2 linked regions of the Drosophila melanogaster genome follow. The protein of the gene in region 2 interacts with the protein of the main gene of each other region in a pairwise test. Each region holds a gene or a part of one and is shown on either strand. Other genes may lie near its edges.

The links. Proteins that work in one complex are often made in the same cells at the same time.
Region 1: the proteins of CG6276 (region 2) and L interact in a two-hybrid assay, tested with the Drosophila melanogaster proteins (one large-scale study listed by BioGRID).

The regions. Positions count from the first base shown.
Region 1 is NT_033778.4:14,433,948-14,439,486, reverse strand, and holds the start of L (lobe), read right to left. Parts: upstream 3,589-5,539; 5' UTR 3,370-3,588; coding exon 3,327-3,369; intron 1-3,326.
Region 2 is NT_033777.3:15,317,401-15,322,393, reverse strand, and holds CG6276 (uncharacterized protein), read left to right. Parts: upstream 1-2,324; 5' UTR 2,325-2,480; coding exon 2,481-2,567; intron 2,568-2,628; coding exon 2,629-3,954; 3' UTR 3,955-4,191; downstream 4,192-4,993. Other genes in the region: ear (ENL/AF9-related), read right to left, coding at 1-718, 790-976; CG44040 (uncharacterized protein), read right to left, coding at 1,787-1,969; CG14866 (uncharacterized protein), read right to left, coding at 4,256-4,899, 4,956-4,993.

The sequences.
Region 1 (5,539 bases), on a different chromosome or scaffold from region 2:
GAAGCTGCCACCCGAGAAAACATGGCCAAAGGATCGTTTGCCATTGGCGAAAAACAGTTCGTATAAACCACTAAAGGTGGTCAACTTGAGCAAAAAGTTTTGCTACAAAATATTGGCCCATTCATTAAACCTTTTAAGCCATTTCATTACATTGCTAGAAATGATTATAAATACCATATAATTGCACGAATTTACTATTATATTACTATTAAGGTTTGCTGTGAATTTTCATAAAGATATATTTAAATTAATAGATAGCTTTGCCACTTCCTTCGGTCTTTAATTATTTGGATTTACTTGGTTTTTATGTATTAATTAAACCTCATCTTTAATTAAATCCAGTTAAGTTATTTAGAAATCACCTCCTTTGTTTTGGTAGTTTTTACTGCCGCCACTTTAGCTACCCGAACTAAAATCCTCAAGCCAAAACTAAACAACAGCCGCTCATGTGTGAGTGCCGTGGAATCCGCAGAGCTGTCAAAATGCCACCATCACCACCACGGCCGTTGCTAATGTCGTTTGCAGTGTTGTTGCCTTCCGGCGAATCCCCAAGACGCCCCACGACCCTGTTGCCCCACCTCTACCACATCGCCCAACCAACCACCCACTCATTGCCATGGCCCACAGCAAATTCTATTTACCAAACTAGTTACCATTAGACGCAGCCAATATCCCACATTATGTGCCAGCTGGAGCTGGAGCAGGAGCAGAAGCCATTGCACATGGTAGCCTATGCCCACAGCGGATTCCCACTACAGCTCCTGGATTCTGAGATCCTTATTCCGCTGTTGTTGCTGCTCCTGCTGCTGCTGCTGCTATTTTTGGCGCGCGATTTTGCCGTGCAATGGCAAATATTTTGCCAATACACCAAGGACTCGCGCTCACGTTGACGATGAGGTGAAACGGAACTGGTGGGCCAGCGGGAAAGGGCTGGATCTGAGGATGACTGGGAATGAGTGGCGAGAGGGGCCAGAAGGAAGGCAACGACAACTTATGGCAGCTGGAATCCTAAGCCTTTCGCCTAGCCATGGGAATTCGCCAGCAGAAGCCGGCATTTTAAAGCATTTTACGCAGACAGTGTCTGCTAAAAATATGCATACCACTCAGAATGCCAGCTGGATGGGAGGGAAGTTGAGAATTGGTAAAGGTTCTTTTGATTAATCAATCGTGGGTCACAAAACTGGAAAATAAACGATGGTGAACGTAAAAACAATTCTATAATCTAAAATCTTTAAATTAATAGAGACATTCCTAATTTATATTAAATAGTTTTTAGCAACAAATAAAATACCTCCTATATACCTTTGTATATAGTTATATTTCTGTAATGGACCAAAATTTGTATAGGTAAGTTACATATTTTTGATAGGTGTTCAAAAAGCTTGATAAAAAAAACAAATCGAAAAATTTCCATATATTTGGGCTCTTATTTTTTGCAATAGATGATGTGGGTATGTTGTTGTTTGATTGTCAATGAAAATAGCTGAGCTTGTGAGCCACCTACATATATGTATGTTCGGCATATACATACATACATATGTATATATAAATCGGGGAATATACCTAGAGATATGTAGTGGTAAACTGGCTGGCAACGCCGTCAACAAATGAAAACTCCCCAGGGAGTTGGCGCATGTTTGTTGCTGTTGCTACCGTTGGATGTTGCTGCTGCCTCGTTGCCCGGCGCTTTTCTCGAGGGGATTGGCCAGAGAGCCGTTGCCGACTCCCCTGAGAAATACATGGCAATGGGTTTTCTGTGTTTTGTGCTTTTTTCGCGCGCCCCTCGCCGGGCACATTGGTGCGACAGAGATGGCTGCAAAAAGAGCAAGCCAAAGTTCGCTTTTTTATACGTTGGGGAAATTTTCATGCCCCAGCATGAGGATATCTCTCTCTGTCTCTCGCTCTCTCTCTCTCCCTCTACCGCCCGTCTCTGTGTGTGTGTGTGTGAGTTAGTTTGTGTGTGCGCCAGTTGTCCTTGGGGGCCTCAGATCCCCCCTCAGCTGGCCACCCACAAAACCACCCACTTACACCCACCAGCCCACCTCCACCTCCACCTCCACATGCACATGTGTGCATTGGATTTATTGTCAATTTTATTTGTTATCATTGTTGTTGCTGCCGCTGCTGCGGCTGCTGCTTCTGCTTTTGCTCTGCTGTTATTTACACTGACACAATTTGGAATTGTATTAAAAATTAACGGCACTTTGGTTGCCTTGGCTTGGCCCGGCCGCAGAACGGAAAATGGAACCGAATCGAAAAACTGCACCGCACTCCCAGCCAGATCACAAAAATAACCAAACGGCAATACTGCGTTTTGGTCAACTAGCTTTTCATGTCCTTCAACATGTTGTCCTTGGGCCAAAATCTATGCCTAACACTTTAGGATATTCTAACTAAAAATGGATTCTTCTTCAATACGCGTAAATGTTATTGAACATAAACTGAACCAATTAACAAGAAAAAATGCAAATTAATCACCAAAGTTGACATCTTAATTAAAATCTCAGAAAGGAAATAATCTATCAAATAATATATGTAAACTTGACTAATTTATTCTTCCAATAATATTTTATTTATCCACAATATTTTTTATTTATATCAACCAAGAAAGCGTATCCCCCATTCGTCATGGAGCCGTTTTTGTTAACCATTTACTTGTTGGTTGACCAGAACACTCAATGTTTCAACCTCATACTGGGTGGGTTTGTTTGGGTTTCGGGGGTCTCTTGGCCCCCAGAGCACCTGCCTCGTCCCCGCCTTGCCCCGACCCCTCCAGCCGACCGCCCAGCCGGGTCCCAACCAGGGCTCCCTCATCCACTATGCCCTCCCCCCCTCCCCCCTCTTTGGTCGCTCTCTATCACTGACAGTTAGGTGTGTTGATCCCTGGGGATTGACCAATGCCTGCAAGCTGCTGGGCTGCAGCCGGTTTGGGTACGGAATGGGATTGGGATGGTACGGCATGGTATGCTCTGGCCGGGAATCGGTAGTCGAAACTGGAGGGCAGGGGAAATGGGCAATAGCCCAACCGGACCGGATTGTGGGCCATAGCAGGCCGAGGCCATTTGCATTTGTCACATTTTGCGGTCCCGCGAGCAAAGTTTGGCAGAGTAATGTTGTGTCCACTCCACCCCTCCCCCCCACCTTTGGGGTTTATCAAAGCAAATCAATCAGATGCACGCACACACAAACAGAGACAAACACACGGAGTACACTCGTAAGCAGTGGGACATGCTGGAACACACTCAGGATATGGAAATGGAGACCATGTCAGTTGGTGGCCACCTGGGGATTCGAGTCCTGCCACTGACCACTGGCGCCCAACTTACGTTTGAGACAGGCGCGCGGCTTGGCCTGTTTGCGTCGGGACATGGCCACGTTGGCTATTTAAATCACTGTTTCCGTTTCCGTTTATAAAGCTGCTTTAGTTTGATTTGACTTGATTTGATTTGATTTGGCTTGAGTGGGCCTAGCTCGCCGTGCGGCTTCCGTTTCGCGCCAAAGCGATTTGTTTTGGTTTTTTGTGTCACAGCCAGCGAGTCCTGGCAAACGCAGCGAATATCCTTGTGCCTTGAGCGTCGGCAACTGACTGAATGCTGGCCCAAAAAAGGTGGCATCAAAACAGAAGCTCTTAAAACAAAATGGTATGTCCACAGCGCAGTCGCGAACAATAAAAGAGCGACAGAGATTGGCAGAGAGAGCAATCAGATGCGGAGAGAGCAGGATGAGGTGGTAGAACAGAGCCACCCAAGAACTCCCAGACATCCAAGCAGTGAACCATCTATCAGTGCTGAACTTATTCCCCTGGGGGTTGCTTCGCTTCCATCCCCTAGAGAATACCGGCGCGGCACCAATCACGAGCGTTTCTGGGTGCCTTTTGAAGAGCCAGGGAACCCGGTAGCCCGGTAGCCCAGCAGCCCGGGAACCCATGCCGACTGCTCACAGTGTGATAGATTCTTCTATTTTGTTGCCCTCCCCGCTCGCCTGTTGCAATTATAAAGTCAAGTCAATTATTTTATAGCCGACTTTCGCACGTGCGTATGGGGGGTCCATCAAAAGGGGCGCGATCTCGAGGCGATTTCGATTCTCCCAAGGTGCCCTGCGAATTGCAGTTTCCACTTGGTTTCTCAGCAGCGGGATAACCAACGCACACCGCTCAGCTCCTTGGTGCACCGTGAGAAACGTGTCCAGAAGCAGAAATTCTAGTGCTTTGGCAGCGGGTGACGACGACATGGGCAATGGATCCTTTGTTGTGCCATCCACTCATCCATATTTCAGGAGTACCACACGCTTGGGATACGAAAGGTGATGTGGTGAGACTCATTAAAGGCAAAGATTGGTATGGAATGAATTAAGGAATGATTTAAAGTTGTGCTAAAGACAAAGTAAGATAAACCAACTGTGAATCCAGAATGTGTTAGAGAATGAATTTAAATTCTGTTTTAGTTAGAGATCAAACTGTGACCTTGAAATCGTTCTTATGTTCTTATGTTATATATTTATATATCTTTTGTTACTTCGCCGTTTGTTGTTTAAAGTATACGTTTTCATATGGGGACTTAACGTTGCACATATTACTAAATTGTTTAGAAAAATTCTTGGAAATTAGTGGTATACATTAAACCTCAAAATTGGAAAATAAAACTTATTTTCCCAAGCGGATTATTTGTTGGCAAATTGTGAGTGCACTCACCACTGGAGTGGTGTTTTTACATATTTTTTTCATTTTTTTTTTACATTACATTTTAAGAACTTGGAAGCATATAAAGGTATATTATTGCACATAGTACAGAAATAGTAAGACAGCTGAACGAATTATATATTTTGATGAAGATGAATTAGTAATACTATTGTATTGGATATAACATTAAAATATATTTAATCGCTTACAACGATATATCTTTTACATATTTCAATATTTATTGGATATTCAGGATTCTAAATAATAGATCTTGTGGATGGTTTTCGCTGAATGCGAACAAAAGAAATTCAATTACTGACCAAAATTATGCTAGACCGATTGAATTCATTTTTCGCCGCCGCAATTCGCCTTGCTTTGAATGTTAGGCGCCACCTACAGTAATTTCTTGAAAACTGTTTGGTAGCGACTGGCGCTGTGACTCCATAGATGTCGCTGGTGTGACACTTAAAGGCAACGGTATGTTTAAAATAAATATATTTCCTCTTAAAGTCAAATTGCATAAGAGATTAAAAAAATTTGATGTACAATTAATAAACAAACAATGGCGTAATAATTGTTTTTAGACGGTACCCTTTAGTTTTGCGTAGTGTAGTTTAGCTTTAATAGTGTTTAATTGCGTAGTCAAAGTCGAAGTAAAATAAATAAGAGCAGTGATTTAAAAATGGGAATACAAAAAACCGAATTTTTTCAAATGCACCAAAACCATTTGTTTAAACATATTGATAGGATCACAATAGAGATCTTGATAATAAATATTTAAATGCTTAACCATAAATCTCCAAAAAAAACTTCGTTATCCCATTCTTATCCTCGATATCTCATCCTGGCACCTTGGGCACT
Region 2 (4,993 bases):
TCCTTCTTAGACTTTTCCTTATCCCGTTCGTGCTTGCCATCGCCGGACTTACTGGACTTTCGGTCTTTGTCGCGACCATGCCGATCTTTTTTGTCCTTCTCCCGCGGCTTGTCTCCGCCGCTGGACTTATCGCGATCCTTGCTCGCCTTCTCCCTGCCCTCGTGAAACACACCCTTTCCGCCAACGGCAGCACTTTTAGCCTCCGGAGAGTGCTTGGAGACAGGCACCTGGGCCATGTTGTTGGCCGTTACGCTGGTCTTCGTGATAGGCGGACCGAAGAGGGCAGAGAAGGCATTGCTCTTTCCGGGATCCTCGCTGCGCGACTTGTGTTTCTTGCCGGTGTTTAAATCCGAGTTCATGGATATTGTACCTGGTACGCCTTTGGCTTTGACACCAGACATCTCATTACTGTGCGCTGTCTCACCGCTGCCAACACTGGGCGAAAGCGTTCGGGCGAGACTGCCGGCACCGATGTTAGCTCCGAACACTGGCACTCCACCGCCTCGCATAAGTTTCGTGCGAAACTCCTCCGACGGCGCCTCGAAAATGTGCGTCTTTACCTCGACGTGGTGCTGCGGTGGACCCGTGGACTGCAGTACCAGGTCGTACTGGTAAACAATGCGCTTGGGTTCGTCTCGGTTGCGAAAGTAAATCTCAACAGGCAGTAGGAAGCCAGCGTAGCCGGACTCCTGAATGGCATACGGCGGTTCCTTGACCACTGCAAATAAACAATTCGGGTAACAGAGTTAATCCGACTGAACTACTCCCATGATATATCGCCGCATTTACCTCGTTTGGGTTTCGGAAAGGATTCGTGCAGCACAAAGACCACCTTCTCCACAAAAGCACTGATGTCCGCCTTGTTCACGCCCTGAACGTAGATCTCCCAGTCGTGCGTAAAGGCCTGCGGATGCGGTGTCTTCTTGCTGCGCAGCTTCGACGTGTGGCCAATTTCGAATTGCACCTTGACCGCCATGCCTGTGGGTAGGGCATCAAGTTCCAGTGATTGCCTGCAATTAAGTGGTGAATTAAGATGCTACGTATTAGCGCGCCAAAACCAATGCAACTCGAGTGTGCAAGCACTTAAGCTTGATGCGACGTAAACAAATGATCGCCAGTTATGTGGAAAGGCCCAATGGATTGCCAAACGAGGTGTTAGCCAAGTATTGCGCTCCTTGCTTTCGCTTCAGTGTGCATGCGTGATTTCTAATGCGAATCCTGTGGCAGGTCACGTCCTCCAAGTCTGCGCCTGGCTTTGGAAACCTTTCAATCGGTCTCAGGATGCCCGCACTAGCTACCACATTTTGAATATCCTTTGATAACCGACGTTTTTTGTTATGATTCGCTTTGCGTTCAATTTGTTATTGTTTGTGAGCGAATGTGTGCCACAATGTGGACTTTTCATGTTGCAAGCTTTCGCCGTGTTTGTGGTTTCCTTTAGCCACATGCCCCCACCAGCCACGCTTTATACTTACTATCGCGCCGTGCGGCATTCACATGGAGATGCGCACAATTTTCAGAAAAAACGTAAAAGCTTGGAGCCAGAATCGAAGTAAATTTTGGAAAAACACAGAAAATAAAATCCAAAATGGTAAAGTGTGACCAAAGTTCGGGGCACCAAAAAATACACTTGAGTCGGGTAAAATATACTAGAATATGCGTTGCGTTTACTTTTTCTAGGGTGGCTCGTGAAATTAGTTTTAAATATGTACATATATCTAGTTTAAATTCATTCAGATTTTTAACTCGATGCATTTTTTAAAGAATAGAGTGCTTTATTTGTTTCTTAGTAGAAAAAGTATAGTTTCTTGCCACATGGTCCTTGGGGCCCATTTCCGCACGGAACTGGGGATGGTGCCGCCGAAGTGGTTGAAGTATCAGAGGAGGCTTCCGTCGTGGTTGTCGAGGTGGAGGATGCAGCGAATCCAACGATGGCGCACAGAAGGAACAGAATGGCGAAGAACTTCATCTTGATTACTCTTTTGTGACTGTGATATTTTCCCGGGGATAGTTGCTCAATTTTATACCTTTCATTTTTAGATTTGCAAATATTGACACAAATGCTTCAATTCCGCCTATGTACCAAATATCAAGAGAAAAGAAACAATTCGGCAAACACTGCGTGGTACTTAAATAATGTGTTTTGTGTTTGTTTAGAAATAGCAACACATGGAATTTCGCTTTTTGCCACTTACAGGTTAAGCTTTTAAGCATAGCACGCGGATTCAGACAAGATGATATATATATGGGAAATTTTTATATTGCATGATCATTGTTTTTAAGGAACCCGCATAAACCAAAATAGTCAGCAAAAGCTTCTGTGATCCGGAACCAGTTCGGCCGCCTGTTTGGTTCACAGCACTTAAAAGAACACTTGGGAAAAACAATAAAAATATTTCGCAAAAGTTATGGCGAACGCTGGATAAGTCAGCCAAAAATTGAATCCATCGGAGCGACTGCCTTGGAGCCACAGCCCACCCATGATGACGACCGACTTCGCGGGCAGCCAGTTCGTGTCCAGCAATCCCAACACCAGCTGTAGTGCATCCCGCTGGCTAACGGAGGAGGTATTTGCATGGATATGCAATTTGAAAATGATTTGATTCACATATTTCTGTTGTTCTGTAGGTCTTTAAACTAATCGAAATTGTGCAGCGCGACGAGGCCATCTACAATCCGAGGCACAAATACTACTTTTGCCGCCCGTACGTGGAGAACTTTTGGCGCGAGGTGGATTTGAAGCTGGAAAAGAATCCGGGCGCCAGTCTGGCCAAGTGGACCAATTTGCGCATCTCGTTCCGACGAGAGTACACCAACTATCTGGAGGAAAAGGTGCCACCCTGCTGGTCCTACTTCGACCGCATGTTCTTTCTGCATCCGTATCTACGCAAGAAGCACCAGCAGCCCAAATCGCTGGACACACAGGTGCAGGACGCCCTGGCACACCTCTCGAACCTTTCTAGTCGTATGCAGCGTGAGCGTTCAGTGACCATTCCGGGCAGCAGCAGTATTGGTGGCCAGCCCACGCCCTCCGCCCACCAGTCACCACCTGCACAGCAGCTGGACAACTATCTGGACTACTTTGACGAGGCGGAACACAACAACTCCGAGCTGGATGACATCATGGAGGAGGAGCAGCAGCGCAACAGTCGTTACCACGGCCAGTTGGACGGCAACGACATTAAGTCGGAGTGCGAGGAGCCGGTGGATGACTACGAACAAGAGGCGCACGAGCCCGAGGAGGATGAACAGGATGACCAGGACCTACACAAGATGGCGCCTACTTCTAGCTCTTCATCGGCGGAGGCCCAGCGTCGTTATGCCAACCAGCATTCACACGCCAGCCGAATGCTTCCGGGTCGCCTCCAAATGCGCACCTACCATGACGAGATGCGTGGCGCTATTCGTCCGCGTTCCCAGGAACTCCAAGCTCCAACTGCAGCAGTGGCCGGGGTCAACTACTCCGCACAGCCGACTGCCCATCCAAACATTTCGTTTGTGCGACCTACTTTCAGCAAGCCCGTGGATTTGGTTAGCACTACAACGCACGCCGGAGGCGGAGGAGGAGGAGGTGTTCCAGGAACTGCTGGCTTATCCGAAGCGGAACTGCCCACACCATCCACTGCGGCCGTGGCCACCCCGATGGCGCCCAGTAGTAGTGTTAGTGCCAGCAGTAGCAGTAGCTACTTGAGTCAACGGCATGGGCACAACCATATGCATGGAGGACATCCACAGGTGCCGCCGTCAGCGCTTCCTCTGCGTTTGGAAGCCAACAACGCGTCCGGCGGATCCGTGTCCAACGGCGGTGCGGAGCTGTGCGACTGCAAGACCGATCCGGATGCCATGTTTCTGATGAGCCTGCTGCCCGACATCCAAAAGCTGAACGGCCGTGATCGCGGCAAGATAAAGATAGCCTTCCAGAACATCCTGCAGGACTACCTGTATCCGGATTAGCGTTGATCTCTGTGTATACCTTCCGCTTAACGCAAACGGAACCCAGTTCCAGTATCGATTTTGTTTAATATTCTCTTTTGTATTTTCGTTGGAGAAAAAAAAAGAATCCTTTAAGCTTCGCTGTGCAAGAACAAAGTATCCTTAAAAACGTTTTGAAAACTATCCGGTATGTTTATTAATTGTATAAATATTTATAAATATTTAATGTGTAACACAAGAATAAATTCATTTGAAATTATGCGATATATGGCTAGGTAACTTGAAGTATCACATGAGGATCGGAATGGGTTGCATCCCATCCTCACTCGAACAGCTTCAGCTCGCGGGTGATCTTCTTGATCTTGTTGTCCAGCGTCTTGTCCTCGTGCTCGCAGATGTAGTAGTGCCGCGAGGTGCACTCCTGTCCGTAGTACACATAGCTGTGCTTTCCGGCATTGTAACTTAGCCGTAGGCAGCGACCCTTGCCCTCTATTTGCACCGTGTTGTTCAGCACATCCTCGCCGGTCGCCTCCTCTGCCGCCTGCTCCGAACTGTCCACCAGATTGGCGGCCGTCGAGTTCTCCCCCTTCTGGGCCATCGCAATGGATGTGAGATTCATGTTGGGATTCACCGGCTTAGCCGAATTGGACCAGATCCAGAGGAGGCCAGGATTGAGACCGCCCAGCCAGTAATCGCGACCACGATGCGTCGGCTGATTCAGCAGATAGGCCATGATCTCCTCATTCTCCGAGACCTTCTCGAACTCGGCCAGGTGGGAGTTTAGACCCTTGCAGGCAGAGTTTGCCGTCTTCCAGTTCACCTGCTGCTGGCTGTTGATGTAGTAGCAGTTGTCGCTGATGCGCGTGAAGTTCGCGGGACAGGGATCCTTCACCTCCTTCTGATTGTTTCCGGCCATCAGATAGTAGATCAGCTGCTCCGAGCGCCGCACGCGACTCTCCAGGTAATCTATGGGTGTTTGCTTTTACTTAGACCAAGAACTCCTAGGTGTGACTTCAACTTACCCACTCGATACACCAACTTTTCAATGGCTCCCAAGAGA